Xenopus tropicalis: one gene and its partners. The protein of the gene in region 1 interacts with the protein of each later gene in a pairwise test. Links are inferred from orthologs where the notes say so. Each region holds a gene or a part of one and is shown on either strand. Other genes may lie near its edges. The genes, in order: nav2, ing5, rbm15 and pias2.

Region 1 (4,103 bases):
ATATCAGGAAGGGGAAAAGGAAATGTTAAACAGGAAATATCAATAAGAGGAAATGTAAACTTTGAACAGGAAATATCAGGAAGAGGAAATGTAAACATTAAACAGGAAACATTAGGATGGGGAAAAGGAAATGGTTAACAGGAAATATCAGGAAGGGGAAATGTAAACATTGAACAGGACACATTAGGAAGGGGAAAAGGAAATGGTTAACAGGAAACATCAGGAAGGGGAAATGTAAAGATTAAACAGGAAATATCAGGAAGGGGAAATGTAAACATTGAACAGGACACATTAGGAAGGGGAAAAGGAAATGGTTAACAGGAAACATCAGGAAGGGGAAATGTAAAGATTAAACAGGAAATATCAGGAAGGGGAAATGTAAAGATTAAACAGGAAACATCAGGAAGAGGAAAAGGAAACATTAATTGGGTGCAACATTGATCTGGCTCTCACCTGCAGTCCCTCTCTGACGGCCTCTAGGAGGTAGGGAATAATGGAATAATTCCACAGATCAGTAAACCAGACCCTGGAACCATCCACATCTATTGGGCAGGAGAGGAACAACCGTGGGCCTGTAGTGGAACCAGAAGCAGAAAGTCAGGACACAATGGGACCCCCAGTCAAGTTTAGGGGCTCTTGGCAATCTATTATTGCCCCAACCCCCCTTTTTCAATCCCCCTCAGGGCAAACTGCAGGGTGCATTCCAAGAGGGCGGGGCCATTCTCACCGATGGTCACGTCGGACGAGCTGTGCGTCTCCAGGAATTTATTGAGGTGCTGCCAGACCTTGGGGATCCAGTCGATGATTTTCACCAGTTCTGGGTTTCTCGTCCGGGAGTTGATCTCCGTTTCTATGAGTTTCCTCCTGAGGTAGCGGCCGAGGAAGCCCTTCACCGGCTCCGTGTGATTGGCGCACAGCACCCACCTGTGTGAGACGTAGGAGAGGTGAGCGGCCGCCCAGGCTTCATTAACCCTTCTTGGCTGGAACATGGGGGGCGGGGCCCCAAAGCAATGCTCCAGCCAAGAGCGGTTTCTGATCACATGACGGCAGAATAATAAATACCTGAAGTTATGGTGCAGCTGCAGGTTAGGAGTGGAGGACGTGGCTTGGTTCATGGTGCCGATGATATACGGGCTGCAATAAATAAAGGACAATGAAAATGACCATTAGTTCTGCCTCCCCGGGTAACGTTGGCCGCCCGAGGCCACTTTCTCCACTTGCCCCCCTGAGGGCAGGACCCGGGTCACTTACCATTTCTGATATTTGCAGTTCAGGAGGCCGTTGAAGATCTCTCCCAGGGAGCCGACATGGTGCAGGTTGTCCAGTATAATGACCAGGGGGGTGTCGGCCGAGCTGTTCTCGTTGCTGCACTGGTCGGCCAGGTTGGACAGGTACTGGCGCAGCTCCTGGGAAACAGAACATCACAATCCGGATCATTATAACTGTTCCCACTGAGACTGGGGGGGCAGGATATCCATCTGCCTGCAGACCCCAAGGCTGTGTTTTGGGGTACAGCTCTTACGCCTGGGTGGGGCTGTGTTTTGGGGAACAGCTCTTATGCCTGGCTGGGGCTGTGTTTTGGGGTACAGCTCTTATGCCTGGCTGGGGCTGTGTTTTGGGGTACAGCTCTTATGCCTGGCTGGGGCTGTGTTTTGGTGTACAGCTCTTACGCCTGGCTGGGGGGCAGTACAAGGCTCTGCGGTACCAAGAGATTCAGAGCCCAGAACAGCTAAGGGGGGCAGCAGGGGTCACATTTAATATAAAACAAGTCCCGGAAACACTTTAAATAGGAATACGAGGCCTTCTCTGCTATTAACCAATCAGATGTGAGCAGCGTAGTTATATACACCAATAGGGAAACGTGAGATTCAGAGGCCGCGGCTTCTTACCTTGCTGGATTTATGATCTACATTGAAGGTAGCAATGACCCCCTCGGCCAGCTCCCGCCCCTCCCACTGAACCAGGTACTCCGCAAGCCGATTGGCCAGGTAGGTCTTGCCGGTGCCGCTGGGTCCAGACAGGATAATTCTCCTGTGCTCCATTAACAGTGAGATGTAGCGCTGTAATATGGGCTTGGGGGTCAGCGTCTCAAACACCAGGCAATCCAGACTGCTCTGAGCCAGGCCTGGGGGAGAACAGGGCAGCATTATACATAGATTCATAGTTAGATAGATAGATAGATAGATAGATAGATGATAGATAGAGATAAATATAGATAGATAGATAGATGATAGATAAAAGATAGAGATAAATATAGATAGATAGATAGATAGATGATAGATAGATGATAGATAAAAGATAGAGATAAATATAGATAGATAGATAGATGATAGAAAGAGATAGATGATAGATAAAAGATAGAGATAAATATAGATAGATAGATAGATGATAGAAAGAGATAGATGATAGATAAAAGATAGAGATAAATATAGATAGATAGATAGATGATTGAAAGATAGATAGATGCCAGACAGATTCATAGATAGATGATAGATAGATAGATAGATAGATGATAGATGATGATTGATAGATAGATAGACAGATAGATAGAAGAAAGAGATAGTTAAATAGATAGATGATAGATGATAGATAGATAGATAGATAGATAGATAGATAGATAGATAGATAGATAGATACAGATTCATAGTTAGATGATAGATAGATTCAGATAGATAGATGAAAGATAGATTAAGATATACAGATTCATAGTTAGATGATAGACAGATAGATAGATAGATAGACAGACAGATTCAGTTAGATGATAGAAAAATAGACAGAGATAGACAGATTTATAGTTAGATGATAGATAGATAAATAAATAGATAAATAGATAGAGAGATAGATAGATAGATAGATGATAGACAGATAGATAGATAGACAGACAGATTCAGTTAGATGATAGAAAAATAGACAGAGATAGACAGATTTATAGTTAGATGATAGATAGATGATAGATAGATAAATAAATAGATAAATAGATAGAGAGATAGACAGACAGATGATAGAAAGACAGACCTTGCTCTCTATAACCCCCACAGATTGGGGGTACACTTACCTCTCACAGTGACACAAATGGTGTTGTTCTCCCCGACCAGATACCCACAAGGCAGCAGTTCGGGGGTCTCGGCGTTCCCGACGCGCTTGATGTCACCGATGCTGTAGCCGAGGACACTGTCGGAGTTGAGGCCCAGCTGGGTGACTGGGTCGACGTGGATGATGTACTCCTATGGGGAGAAGCAATGAGTGTGTGGGGGGAGCGGCAGTCTGTGCTTTCCTGGTGTTGCTGAATGATATCTCTCAGCTCTTACCTTGAACAGTCTCTTTACTACCCCATCCAGGACGTCCCATTTAGTTTTACCGCCCACACCGATGCAGCCAATCAGGAAAAGCCGAGGTCTGGCGTCCTAAGGATCCAGTACAGAATGTGACATGTTACATAGCAGCTCCCACACACGCACCAACTGCAACTGTCTCAGAATATCTACATCATATTAACAGTCAGTTAAGGGTGAACTGCCCCTCTTTTATTTTTATTGTTTCAGAGGCAATTCCAAAGAAAGCCACTTGGGGGCAGTATTTAACCTCTTCCCCAGTCTGTAACCCGTGTTCTCGTAATACTCTGAGAGTTTGTTCTATTTAAACCCAATCGCCTATGGGAGTACTAAGATTCATAGTTAGATAGATGATAGATAGATAGAGATAGATAGATGACAGATAGATAGATAGAGATAGATAGATAGATGATAGATAGATAGATGACAGATAGATGATAGATAGATTGATAGATAGAGATAGATAGACGATAGATAGAGATAGATAGATGACAGATAGATAGAGATAGATAGATAGATGATAGATAGATAGATGATAGATAGAAGATAGATAGAGATAGATAGATAGATAGATAGAGATAGATAGATGACAGATAGATTATAGATAGAGATAGATAGATGACAGATAGATGATAGATAGATATAGATAAACAGAGATAGATAGACGATAGATAGAGATAGATAGATGACAGATGATAGATAGATAGAGATAGATAGATAGCGATAGATAGATGACAGATAGATTGATAGATAGATAGAGATAGATAGACG
Region 2 (4,103 bases), on another chromosome or scaffold:
TTATATGTGGACTATAGTTTCTGTTGAGAAAATTTCTTGACTAGATCAGTCTTTGTGCATCTTTACACTTTATATTAACACCATCATTATCAGTGTTTGTGAGTGCTTATGGTTGTATTTACATAGGCCTTTCTGATAAAGCTTACTTAGTTTTTACCTTTCTTTCTCCTTTAAGGTCAAGGCACTTACTCTTTCTCTGCTGGCGTAGATATGCCAGCAAGGAAAGGGCAAGTCTCCTCCCTTTCACTTGGCCTTGTGTTCGCACTAACAGGCACAGAAACAGCCTGTCAGCATGCACATGAAGTGCCTACGCCACTGGGAAACCACTGTCATAAGCCAAACCACTCTGCTACATGTTACTCCACCAAAGTGATGCCTGATGTCCTTCTTGAGTTTTGCCAACTGCCGTTCCACTACATTTTCAGACAGATTTTGACCCAAGAAGGGACATTACATATTGTTTTGATATAAACACCTTATATTCTGACTGACAACACTTTATTTGCTAGCACTTGTTCATACTGCTCTGCCATTCTTTACAAGTACATTGCTGGCAATTCAGTAGTAGGCCAGACTGGGATTCACACCAAAAATGATGCAGGTGGGGTAGAACATTACTTTCACCAGACTCCTCTTATAGTATCTTTGTGTATTGAAACCATGTAATGGGCCAAAGGTTATTGGGAGGTTTAAGTTGCCTATTAACTATAGCTGTACCTTTTGCTTTTTTTAATAGATAAGAAGAAGGAGATTGATGCTTTAGCAAGCGAATATATTGCTAAGGTGCGGGACTACACCCCTGAGCAGAGAGTACAGCACCTTCAAAAAATTCAGTCTGCCTATAGCAAATGCAAAGAGTACAGTGATGATAAAGTGCAACTGGCCATGCAGACCTACGAAATGGTGAGCAGCAGTTTAATGAATCCATAAATAACAAATGCCATGCATGACTTTAATAATGTCATTTTTGTGTGTAGAAATTATTATTTTGAAATATATTTGTCTGTCTAATAGGTCGATAAACATATACGAAGGCTGGATGCTGATCTGGCCCGCTTTGAGGCTGATCTTAAAGAAAAACTGGAAGGGTCAGAGTTTGATAGTCCTGCAGGACGTGGAGTAAAGAGTGAGTTACAAAATGTTGTGTATAAAAAATCTCGCTAATCTTTTCCTTCAACATTTAAAAATCCCTGCAAGAAGACCCACTCTTGCTCATTCCTCCTTCTCCCTTTACATGGTGCACTATGAATAGAGGTCCACAGAAATACTCACAAGTGGGAGAATACTGTGGCTTCCTAGCATATTTATTTCTTACCAGTGACAGGCACATCCAATGAACCAAGTATATTGATCCAAGTATATTGTATTCTGTTTAATGCGCCCCATAACGACAATGCATGTCTAACCAAACCTTATAAATGTGTTATTTATATTGTACATCGCCACCACCCAATACGTTCCACTCCCTGTATCAGATGCTCTGCCTGCTTGCGTGTTTGGCTGGCAGCTGCCACTTCTATGTTCTTACTGAGCCGGAGTTAATAACACTGCGTGAGCGCAGCAGCACATGCCCCTGTGTGCAATTAACTTGTGTGCCAAACTTTACCTACATGTGAAAGGACTGTCTGAAGGTCAAAAGCTAAGGATTGCCTGAAATGTTACGCGCGTCACATCGGTTCTGTGCTGATCCCTTAATGGTGCAGCGGCGCGTCCCATAATGGTGCAACGCTATGGTGCGTATGATGCCTTGCGCGTGCGTCTGCAAGCCCGTCCACGGGGGGGGGGGGGGATTGCACGCAAGGAGCGCATTGCATCTGCGAATCCATAGGCAACTACCGTATATACTTGAGTATAAGCCGAGGGTTACTTTTTAAGCACATTTTTAGTGCTCAAAAACTCGGCTTATATTCGACTATATACGGTACTCTGGAAGATAAATAGCAGTACATCAAAATTGGAGAAACAAAATTATTCATCCTAAAAAAACATAACTTTTTTGTTTTAAAGAGAATAGAGGTCAAAAAGAAAAACGAGGGTCAAGAGGACGCAGAGTATCTGAAGAGGACACTGTAAAGAAAAAGAAAATGAAAGGAGGGTGAGGAATTGTATCAGTTTGTTACTGTTCTAGTAACAGCGTAGACTATGTGAGACCTCTTATAGTTTCCAGGTTGAATGCCACATACACAATTTTTTTTTGCACCCTTATCAAGCAGCTGTGGCTTTAAACAAAACATTTACATAGTAACTTCCACGTTAATTGTCCAAAATATTACATTTTTCAAAAAGGAATAGATTGTGTAATATCAATAGGGCCACCAAACTGTCCTGAATAAGGGCTAAAAAGTGGTATCTTCAACTGCTGCTCCCTTATTTTTTAATGTGACTGCAAGAGCTGTGGATTTAATGGGTGTTTAAATGCAAGGGTACAGCTGTGTAAGTGTGTGAGTTAGGCTGCTGACCACTTTAAAGGTGAAGTACATTTAACATTTTTATGTTTTAGAATTTCCCATCCATAGCAATTGTTCAATTGCTGCTCATTTTTATATATTTTTTAAGTTTGCCTTCCCCTTGTGTGTCCAGCTCTCAAAAGGGGGTCACTGACCCCAGCAGTCAACTATTGCCCTTTGAGGCTGCAATTATAATGTTACATTTAGGCCTTCTCCTTTTCATGTTTCAGTCTCTCATTCCAGCCATTGCCTGGTTGTTACTGTAAATAGATTGGACCTTGGTAGCCAAATATCTGCTGACAAAAAGCTAAATAATTCAGAAACCATGCAAAAAATGAAGAATAAATTGTCTCAGAATACATTTATAGTTTTTTTAATCTGAAGCTGTTTAATGGGTAATTTACATGACCTAACTCGCTGGCTTGCTGATATATTTGTATTTGCCAGGCCTGTATATGCTGATTCAGTCCTGTCTGTGACCCCTTCGGATGTCTTGGATATGCCAGTGGATCCCAATGAACCCACATACTGCCTTTGCCACCAGGTGTCCTATGGGGAAATGATTGGTTGTGACAATCCAGATGTAAGTAATAAGTTCAGAATATTGTATGGATACATCAGTGTCCTTGCCTGGAAGTGTGTACTGTATGATTGGATTTAGAGAATAATTCAAATCCAAAATGCAATATTTTGTCTATATTCTTAAAAATTAGCAATAGATTGTTCAGCAGTTTCAGCTGATCTGCCTTGCTACAATCTGAGGATTTATTCTGTAGTGTCTTCACTTTTGCAATAGGATAACATTCTCAGAAATAAATTTCTACACTTATTCAAGAAAAGTGCAAGTGGAAATACAGGTTACATCAATGTTTTAGCCTCAGGTTTAAAACTATACCAGCATAACTACTAGAAACTAAGGTAAATTAATGTTTCAACTGGTTGGAATGGAAAAAGTAAACCTTTCAGAATAGGTTTCTGCTTTGTTTAATAAAGACCTAAGGGCATGAGAGTTGCTACAGCTTACTGATTTTATTGCACATTGTATTCTTTTCTCCTTTATTTTTGCGGTTTCTTAAGACAGTCTAATGATTATGTAAAGTGAATGTGTTATAGCCAAAGCTTATATTGCATGTAAAAGCAAGGCGGTTAGAAGTACAGTTCTATTATCTAGGAAATAGGGTGTATGTTTTTTTCCAAGGCACCTAAATGTGTAATTACTTCCTAAATTATTTGCCCACAGTGTCCAATTGAATGGTTCCATTTTGCCTGTGTGGATCTGACCACTAAACCTAAAGGGAAATGGTAAGTATCTATTGTATCAACTGAATTTTTGTTAAAAATAGGAATGCACTGAATCCAGAATTTTTGGATTCTGATGAATGCTAAATCCTCTGCAAAAGTGGAGGAATCTGAACTATAATTTGCATATTTTAATGGAGAAAAATAGAAAATGACACCTGTGAACAAAGTTTGTAGCCATCAATTACCAAGAGTTTTAATGTCATATTAGAATGATGATAAGGGTTTCAGTTTTGTTCTGCTGAAGCTCTGAATCCTTAACTGAATCCTGAATTTAGTTCATTCCTTTCATTTCATTTTAATTTTCTTGATGCAAGGACAAATTTTATTTAAAAAAAATAAAAAAAAACATAGGAA
Region 3 (4,732 bases), on another chromosome or scaffold:
TTGTGTGTGTGTATATATATTATATATATATATATATATATATATATATATATATATATATATACACACACACATACACATACATACAGTATTTACACTGAACTCTACTGCATGCTGCAGAAAACTAGCAGAAAAGTGGATACTCGAGCATGTGGTAACGGGTCAAATTAATACATGGAAGTCTTTTTTAACTTTGTATTCCCAATTGTTGCTGGACAGCATCACATGAGAACATTTTTGGTGTTACAGTCCAGTGACAGTTTGGGAACCAAATTTAAGAAGTAATGTATTCAAAAATTAGCAGAAATCTCACACTTAAAAAAATTCAAGAAGTTGCCAAAATCAGAAGATTGTGATTACCTATGCTAAGAGAATATAATTTAAAGAAAATGGGAAATAGGCAGGAAACGTCAACACTTGAATATGGTCCGGTCCTGTTTAATTACATAAATGCTTTTGCTAAGCAGATCAAAAACTGCAATACAAAGACTGAACTTGCGATTACAAAAAAAAAAAAAACTAAAAGTTATACTGTATCCCATAATACCTTGTGAATAGTAGACAGAAATACAAACATGGACCTAGGATGCCCCACGAACTATAATCATTATAAGGTAGTCATCATCAGACTTCACAAGGGCTTTTGCTTCAGCATCAAGAAACTGCTGGGAAAAATTACAGGGAGGAAAAGCATGAAGAACTCCTGCATGATCTTTGTCTTTATTGCTCCCAACGGGCAGGCTGATAACACCTGCGGCTTGTTTTTGTTTTAAGTAGGACACCAGGTTTCTTAGGGGTCGTTGTGTTGAACTGGCTTGGTCCACTGATGAACCCTCGGAAGTACCAGGAATGGCAAGTAGGATGGCATAGCCATTAGGCCCTGCCACTCTGATGCGTCGAGTAACTTCATCCAACTTTGGCTGGTCAAGTCGTAGGCGCTGTGTAATTTTTAGCTGTGCCACCTTTCCTCCTGAAGGTCCCTCAACCAGCAAGCTGGATGCAACTCCAAGATCTCCTTGCAAAAGGTGCATATTGGATGGAAAATTGCTGTTCTTAAGCAGCAGCATACCTTGCCAAGCCAGACACAGCTTGTGTGCTGCTTCTGATTTTTGTGGAGGTTTCACTTTGCTGTTGCCCTCTGGATGCTCATCCTTTTTTAAAGGGCTTTTATTTGCAGGTACACGATGCCTTCTTTCTCTTTCAACTGAGTTTTTTCTATCATGTTTGTCTTCTTGACCCCGCTCCAGGCTTCCCTTCCAATCTCTAGAAGGTGAGGAGCGGCATGCTACTCGATCAGAGTCATTGTAACGGTTGTCTCGACCTCCACTGCCTTCAGGGCTACGTTCAGGAGTGACACAGTGTCTCTTTCTAGAGCGGTCACTCTCTGGTGATCTGTCTAGGTGACGGCTATCATCCAGTCTCCTTTTCCTGGGCTGATCTCTGTTCACTTCATCTCTTTCACGGTCTCTGTCTAAAGCCCAATTATCTGCACGTCGTTCTATTGTTTCAAGAGATTCACTAGTGACTCTGTGTCTGTCTCTGGCAGGAGGTGACACCCAATCATTGTTTGTATAAGCATCTCTTTCCCTGTCCCTGAATATTAAAGGTGGTGAACGATCTCTGGCTCTGCTGGCTTCACTAGTCCGATGTCCTGGTGTCTCCTCTCCAAAATCAATATAAGGGATGGGTAATGGCTGAACATAAGGATGTGGAAAACGAACATCTGCTTCTGCAAAATCCACACGAAGTCTTCTATGGTCACCCCCCATAGGGAAGCCTCTCATCTGGGTACAGGCAGCTTGGGCAGCATCCAGACTTTCATATTGTATATACGCCCAGTTTTCCCCCTTGCGGTAATCAATTTGACGGATGGTGCCAAATCTATCAAATTCCCGGGCCAATGCAGTTACTGGTACCCAAGGTCCCAGACCCCCCACCCAAAGGCGGTTTGTTGGTACTACTTTCCCATAGCCGATCTTTAAAGCATGACTACGAAGCATCTTGCCGGACATTGCAACCTTTGCCCTGTGAGCCATGTCAAGGTTTTCAAACTTTATGAAACCATAGGTCGTTTGCTGCCCACGACCAGCTCGTTTTATATCTACTTCTGTAATAGTTCCAAAACGTCCAAAGACCCTATAAATTTCACTCTCCTTGACAACGACATCCAGATTTCCAACAAAGAGTGTACGATTAGCTCTGGCATCAATCTCTAAAGCAAGGTCTTCGTCTCTAAAGTTCAGTCGGGGATCTACTGTGTAGGTAGACCTTAGCCGGCTATCATAAAGGCTGTATTCCCGTTCCCTGTCCAGCTCCCTGGGTAGAGCTGCCGGAGCCGGTGGGAGGCGCCCCAGAGCCAGCTGCTGCAGCCTATAGTCTCTGTAGCCCAGGCCGCCGGGGGAGAGTGCGCGCTGGCCGTGAGGGTGCCTGTGTGTGGCTAGTGTGGAAACAGCGGCGGCGAGTCCGCCATACGAGTCTTTCTCCCCAGGGCTGCGGCTGCGCCTCCGGTTAGTACCGCCGACATTCAAATAAACAGCCTCAATCTTGAGGGGTCTGTCGTAAAGGACAAGCCTCCCGCGGGCGTGCTTAGCGGCTCGGGCATCCAGGGCGCGCCTGAAATTCACTAAGGCCACACGCTCGTCCCCCTCGCGAGAGATTTTCACACTTACGTCTCCGAATTTTTTGAATTCATGGAAAAGTCCATCCTCTATTGCCTCGTCACTTAGCGAGGAGCCCAGCTCGCTTATCCGCAAGGATTTGTAGTATTCTGGCTCTGCACGGCTCTCTGTAGCCCGGCCGCCGCCGCCTCGGCTCTCAGCGCCACCTTTACTGCTGCTACTGCCACTGCTTGCCCCGGGGGAGCCGTAGCGATGCAAGCCCTGGGCTCTGCTCGATTGATCATAGTCGCGGCTCGAGGAAATAGCCTTTTCCACATGCAGGCTCCGGCGGCCTGTGCTGCTTTCAGATGTCTTTCCCGATGATCCGTTACTGCCTCCACCGGAGCTCAGTTTTTTTCCGCTTCTCTCGCGAGTTGATTCCTCCGCCCCCCGGGACCGTTTGGCCTTGGCCGGGGAGCGCTCTTTTCCCTTCATGGCGAGTTACGGGATGATAGTGTCTTCACACACAACTACACTCCGCCATTTTGCAGCGGTTTCGCCTAATTGACCGCCCTGAATAGCGATTGGGTACTTTCTGGCTTTCTTAAAATTCTATTGGATAGCTCTGCAGTCATTCTTACAAGATCGCATAGGATGGGGTGGTCTTTGGGCACGTCACTTCCGCTATTTCTCTGCGTTTCCCACGGGGCGTTATGGGTTGGCTAATGGCTACGTTGCAGGTTTATTAAAGCTTCGATCCATCCTTTCACGCGTGAAATCTTTTGTGCTACAATGGTTTCTAAGGTTTCATTTGTTTCATATCAATTTTACTTTTGTAAAATTTCAGTGAAATGTAAAGAGGAACGTTGGAAAGAGACAACATTGGCATATCAGATGCAAAGCGTTTTAAACAACCCAGTAGAATCGATTCTATATACTTTTGCAGGTTACTAGGCTGCTGGATAGGAGGTGCATAATTGTTCAAGTGATTTTAAGCCGAGAACGTCGTTTCAGTTAAAAGTAGATTTTTTTTTTACACATTATTAGTGGTGTAATTAGTTGTTACTGGTCCCCACAACAAATTCATTTTAGAACTATTAAACATATGCTAAATTGGGTAATTAAAATTGTTTTTTTGTAAGGACCATTCTAGGCCCTTTGAATCTCTAGTCTGTTTCCCTTTGTAGTACCACCCCTACAGATTATTAATACACTATTTCATGTTTGTGTTTCACTCAAACATATCTTACTGGTATTTCCTTTGCTGTTATTGTCAAACAATCCTAATGCAGTATTGTTACTATACAGGGATATATAGATTGTAGACCTTTGGTAACCTCTTTAACATTTTAACACAATGTTCTATAAGGTACATTTATTAATACCGTGTTATGTGCAAAGTGCAATTTTCAAAACAAATTTTCCAGCGTACTTTATTCTAGAATTCAAGCCTTGCAGATACTTTTATGTGATTGTACACAAAATGTTTTGGGCATTGATCCCTTTATTAAATGTGAACAGTGGCAATGTGTTCAGAATGTAGGAGAATATAGCTCCAGATCCCAATAACCTATTTAAACCATGAACCTCGTAAAAAGGTTATTTCCCAGATTTTTTTTAATTTATGCCCACCAATAAGTGACTCATTAGGTGAGGCACTGAACACAATATTACAAAGCGAGGCAAAATAGATAACAAAAACTATCAAGTACAGGTATCGGACCCCTTATTCAGAAACCCATTATCCAGAAAGTTCAGAATTAAGGGAATGCCAAAAATGGCTTCCTTTTTCTCTGCGGAAAGACTGCTTATCTGGAAAACCCCAGGTCCCAAGCCTTCTGGATAACGGGTCCCATACTTGTATGTGAAATATGGAACTTTAGAATATTATGATGACATATCCTTCTTTTCTTTTTAGATGAGTGATGAATATGGAGCTTCTACTGGATGTGTTCAAGCATTTTTTTGTTTTCAGGTATTGATATAAATTAAGTGATGTAGGAGCTAATTGAATGGGTTAAATGTTTAATAAACATGTTTGGGTCCCCTGCATAGACCTGTTGAGGGCAGTATCCTGTTTAAAATATTCTTTTAACAGATAATTGTTTTAATGGATTTTTCTAATATTTTATGAA
Region 4 (4,002 bases), on another chromosome or scaffold:
TGACAAGGTATGGAGATTCAAATTACCGAAAGACCCCTTATCTGGAAAACCCCATGTCCCGAGCATTCTGGATAACAGGTCCCATACCTGTATTATGTTAGCGGCAGTATGTCACTTTCTCTGTTGCCAGGCAGGGGTGTATTTACCATATAGAAACTCATTGGCCCGTGCCTACCTAGTGTTACTTTTTATTACTTATCTTTCTAATCCAGCCCTCTCCTAATCATATTTCGGTCTCTCAATCAACCCACTGCCTGGTTACTAAAGCAAACAAGGCCCTAGCAACCAGATAGCTATTGTAATTGTAACATCTTCCACTTCCTCTGTTGCTAGGCAGGGGCATATTTACCATATAGGGCCCGTGCCTATGGTGGCAGCTATAGGGTTGTGACCCTCGGGTACCTATAGGGTAAGTAAAACGTTTTCTAAAAAAAGAAAAAAAAAAATCTCTTCTACTGCTGCCAAATTATTTCCTATGAAATCCGGCTGTAGAGGGGAGGGGTAAAGGTGATGCTTGTCATTGTTACTGTGCTGATGGGCGTGTAGTGGACCAGTTCCTGGCAGGGATAGGGTTAATATACAGCAGGGATCCCCAACCTTTCTTACTCGTGAGCCACAGTCAAATGTAAAAAGACTTGGGGAGCAACACAAGCACCATAAAAGTTAATGGAGGAGCCAAATAAGGGCTGTGATTGGCTATTAGGGGCCTCTATGCACACTATCAGCTTACAGGGGGCTTTATTTGGTAGGAAATCTTGTTTTTATCCAACCAAAACTTGCCACCAAGTCAGGAATTCAAAAATAACTCCCTGGTTTGGGGGCACTGAGAGCAACATCCAAGGGGTTGGGGAGCAACATGTTACCCCTGAGCCACTGGTTGGGGATCACTGATATACAGGAAGAAAAAAAAAAAACACCCCTTACAAGAAGCTGGGAGCAGGGCATATCTTCTCTTTACATCTCGGGATACCAGAGAAGCCCAGTGTTCAGACCTGGTCTTTATTTATAAAAATACATATATACATTTTTCCTTCTGGGTAGAAGAGCAAAGTATTTACAGACCTGTGCATATGCATCCTGCAAAACATCAAACAAAACTGCAGATCCGGAGGGACCCGGTACTAGTGCCATTTATATTTGCGTGCTTGGTTCAGCAGTTCACCAATAAAAAAAAAAAAAAAAAAAAAAGGTCCTTTTCTCCACCAAGTCTCTCCCAGCACACTGGGGGTCAATGAATAAATAAGGGGGGGCGTTGCTGTCACGAATCTGGAGGCATGTGAATGTGCTGGAACTCTCTAGAAGCGTTCGGACTCGGTGGCAAGTCGTTCTCCTCGCTCGAGTGGCTTTCATGGCGGCTGCTCCAGGTTCGAGGCTTGCCAGTTACGTGGCTTGTTGGCATTGCCGAGGTGAGACTATCCAAAAACATAGGGGGATAGTACTGCTTGAAATAAACAGTCGGCGTGAGAACAGCAACGAAACGCAGCAGTCATGGCCTGAACAATGGCGGTTATAAAGGAGAACTAAAGCCTTTATGGGCTGTATTTTATATCCTACATTTACTGTGCCAGCCCATAGGGTCCACGGACCTGTAATGATCTAGGCCTTTAAAGGGGTGGTTCACCTTTACGTTAACTTTTAATTTGTATATATATTTTTTATAGAATGGGCAATTCTCAGCAACTTTTCAATTGGTCTTCATTTTTTATTTTGTATAGTTGAATGATTTGCCTTTCTCTTCAGCTTTCAAATGGGGGTCACTGACCCAAGAAGCCAAAAACTATTTTTCTAGGAAAGTTGGTTACTTTTTATTACTTACCTTTCTATTCCAGCCCTCTCCTATTCATATTTCAGCTCTCATTCAACCCACTGCCTGGGTGCTAAGGAAAATAAGACCCTAGCAACCAAATATCTGCTGGATCATCACAAATCATTAAAGGCGTGGTTCACCTTATAGAATTGTCTATTCTTAGCAATGTTTCAGTTGGTCTTAATTTTTTTTTTTTTATAGTTTTAGAATTCGTTCCTGATTCTTTCCAACTTTCAAATAGAGTTTACTGACCTCCAGTAGCCAAAAACTATTGCTGTTTTATTGATATTACTTATCTTTCTATTTAGGCCTCTCCTATTCATATTCCTATCTCTGTTGTAAACCACTGCCTGGTTGCTAAGTTAAAATGGACCCTAGCAACCAACAAAAGTTGATGCTACAGATGATCACTGCACTGGTTTCTGAGCTGCCATGTTTATTAGGCTTGTATAGTGACAGTTATATTATATAAACACAGTATATTGTCAGTCAGTCCCTAAGTTCAGTAATGGCAGTGAATCAGCAGAAAAGAAGATGGGGGGCTACTGGGGGCGTTGTTAGAGGCACAGATCTTCCCTGCTAAAGGGCTGTGAGTGCTTTGGGCTGGTACAGAAGCCCAAAACATAATGTGCAACATTTGTAGCCTACTACTTTAATCTTTAGTTCTTCTTTAAGGGTAAGTCCAGTTCTCAAGGGCAGATTCCTGCAGTAGGGGCACAGACTTTTGCCCTGTCTTGTCCTGTGACCCCCTCAACCACAGCCCAATTCCATGCAATTGTCCCGCTTCATTGCTTATACACAGCCCATCCGTCAACTGTGGCTGAAAGACTGCTCTTGTATAGGGGCAGTGATTTGTGGGGGCCTCATATTTCCCCCCCCTATTTCCCAATTACACTTGCGCATGAAAGACCCCACTTTAAATAAATGATTATAGAACTTACAGTTGCAAAGAACTAAGAGAAAGGGGGGTTCTTAGCAAACAGAACTTACCTGAGGATCCATTGAAACAAGAGAGAGGAAATCCAGACCTATAAAGAGCAGCAACACAGCAATGTAAGGAGAAGCCATTGATGCCAGGGTGCTGCTGTACAACATGCACGCACACCAGCTTGGCTTCTATATCCAGATAACGGCAGAGAGCTGTACCTGGTAACTCTGCGGATATTCCAGCGATGGCCGGGTGATGGAAATGGTCCGCGTACCCTGCCATGGAGGGATGCATGGGCTCCGACTCAATGCCAGCGACTTTTCCGACTCTTATTGATGACGGCTGATATGACAAGACCCTTTTGCAAGACAAATAATAAACATAATTACCAGCACAGGAGGATAACAAAACAGGACACAGCAGTTTGCAGGGTGGTGGTTTTTTATATTCTGTTGGCTTATAGGAATAATGAAGATGGTAACATTTCATCACAGAAACAACTTTTTGGGCATTTAGCCCAGGTCTAAGTCTTATTTGTCCTGAGGTGTAAAGGAACAGTTCAGTGTTAAAATGAAAATGGGCAAAATGAATAGACTGCGTAAAATAAAAAATATTTCTAATATAGTTAGGCAAAAATGTCATCTATAAAGGCTTGGAGTGAGTATATGTCTAACATAATAGCCAGAACTCTACTTCCTGCAGGGGTGGCCAGACCTGGGGGATGCGGATGCGCTGCGTGAATGCGTACGTACACTGCGTTGCATACATAAGCATTCACGCAGCACTTCCGCATCCCCGGCTTCATCGCGCTCCACCAGAAATCCACGGGGGATCGACTGGTGGACCGCAATGTATTGACCACCCCTGCTCTACTGTAATACCCAATCACCCTTAACTAGAAACTGCTGCCTGCAAGAATATTCACTGCCAGCAGAGGGAGCCTCTCTCCCCACCTAAATGACCCGCACAGAGCAGAATTTATTTTGCAGAAGGCTCATTTTGCTGGAGGTAATTTTGAATTTTCACTCTCCAGCCAATCAGAGGCTTGTTTCTTTTTTTAATTAGGGTTTACTCTACCCAAGCTGCCAGTGCTTCCAGGACCTACACAAATCTACCATTGTTTGACCAGCAACTCTATAAATTCACTCATATGTGTTAATGTGTGGGAGAGCTGGCACCCAGGAGGCTAGATTTGTTAGGAAGAAGCTAGCATCTGTAGGGGCCTAGGTTCCATATATGTTGGATACAAGGGGTGGGAGTGGTAATA

Evidence for each region.
Region 2: the proteins of nav2 (region 1) and ing5 interact in binary tests that used the Homo sapiens proteins (3 or more experiments, as listed by UniProt). The two-hybrid records come from large-scale screens. The link is inferred for Xenopus tropicalis from reciprocal best matches to the Homo sapiens genes NAV2 and ING5.
Region 3: the proteins of nav2 (region 1) and rbm15 interact in binary tests that used the Homo sapiens proteins (3 or more experiments, as listed by UniProt). The two-hybrid records come from large-scale screens. The link is inferred for Xenopus tropicalis from reciprocal best matches to the Homo sapiens genes NAV2 and RBM15.
Region 4: the proteins of nav2 (region 1) and pias2 interact in binary tests that used the Homo sapiens proteins (3 or more experiments, as listed by UniProt). The two-hybrid records come from large-scale screens. The link is inferred for Xenopus tropicalis from reciprocal best matches to the Homo sapiens genes NAV2 and PIAS2.

What each region holds. Positions count from the first base shown.
Region 1 is NC_030680.2:4,470,343-4,474,445, reverse strand, and holds part of nav2 (neuron navigator 2), read right to left. Parts: intron 3,405-4,103; coding exon 3,309-3,404; intron 3,225-3,308; coding exon 3,056-3,224; intron 2,126-3,055; coding exon 1,890-2,125; intron 1,407-1,889; coding exon 1,252-1,406; intron 1,135-1,251; coding exon 1,063-1,134; intron 925-1,062; coding exon 728-924; intron 573-727; coding exon 454-572; intron 1-453. UniProt on the Homo sapiens protein: Possesses 3' to 5' helicase activity and exonuclease activity. Involved in neuronal development, specifically in the development of different sensory organs.
Region 2 is NC_030681.2:125,710,043-125,714,145, reverse strand, and holds part of ing5 (inhibitor of growth protein 5), read left to right. Parts: intron 1-736; coding exon 737-903; intron 904-1,014; coding exon 1,015-1,126; intron 1,127-2,007; coding exon 2,008-2,095; intron 2,096-2,894; coding exon 2,895-3,030; intron 3,031-3,687; coding exon 3,688-3,749; intron 3,750-4,103. UniProt on the Homo sapiens protein: Component of the HBO1 complex, which specifically mediates acetylation of histone H3 at 'Lys-14' (H3K14ac) and, to a lower extent, acetylation of histone H4. Component of the MOZ/MORF complex which has a histone H3 acetyltransferase activity.
Region 3 is NC_030678.2:72,275,039-72,279,770, reverse strand, and holds the start of rbm15 (RNA-binding protein 15), read right to left. Parts: upstream 3,185-4,732; 5' UTR 3,093-3,184; coding exon 582-3,092; 3' UTR 548-581; intron 1-547. UniProt on the Homo sapiens protein: RNA-binding protein that acts as a key regulator of N6-methyladenosine (m6A) methylation of RNAs, thereby regulating different processes, such as hematopoietic cell homeostasis, alternative splicing of mRNAs and X chromosome inactivation mediated by Xist RNA.
Region 4 is NC_030677.2:206,585,937-206,589,938, reverse strand, and holds the end of pias2 (E3 SUMO-protein ligase PIAS2), read right to left. Parts: intron 3,094-4,002; coding exon 2,954-3,093; intron 2,836-2,953; coding exon 2,798-2,835; intron 1,442-2,797; coding exon 1,259-1,441; 3' UTR 932-1,258; downstream 1-931. UniProt on the Homo sapiens protein: Functions as an E3-type small ubiquitin-like modifier (SUMO) ligase, stabilizing the interaction between UBE2I and the substrate, and as a SUMO-tethering factor.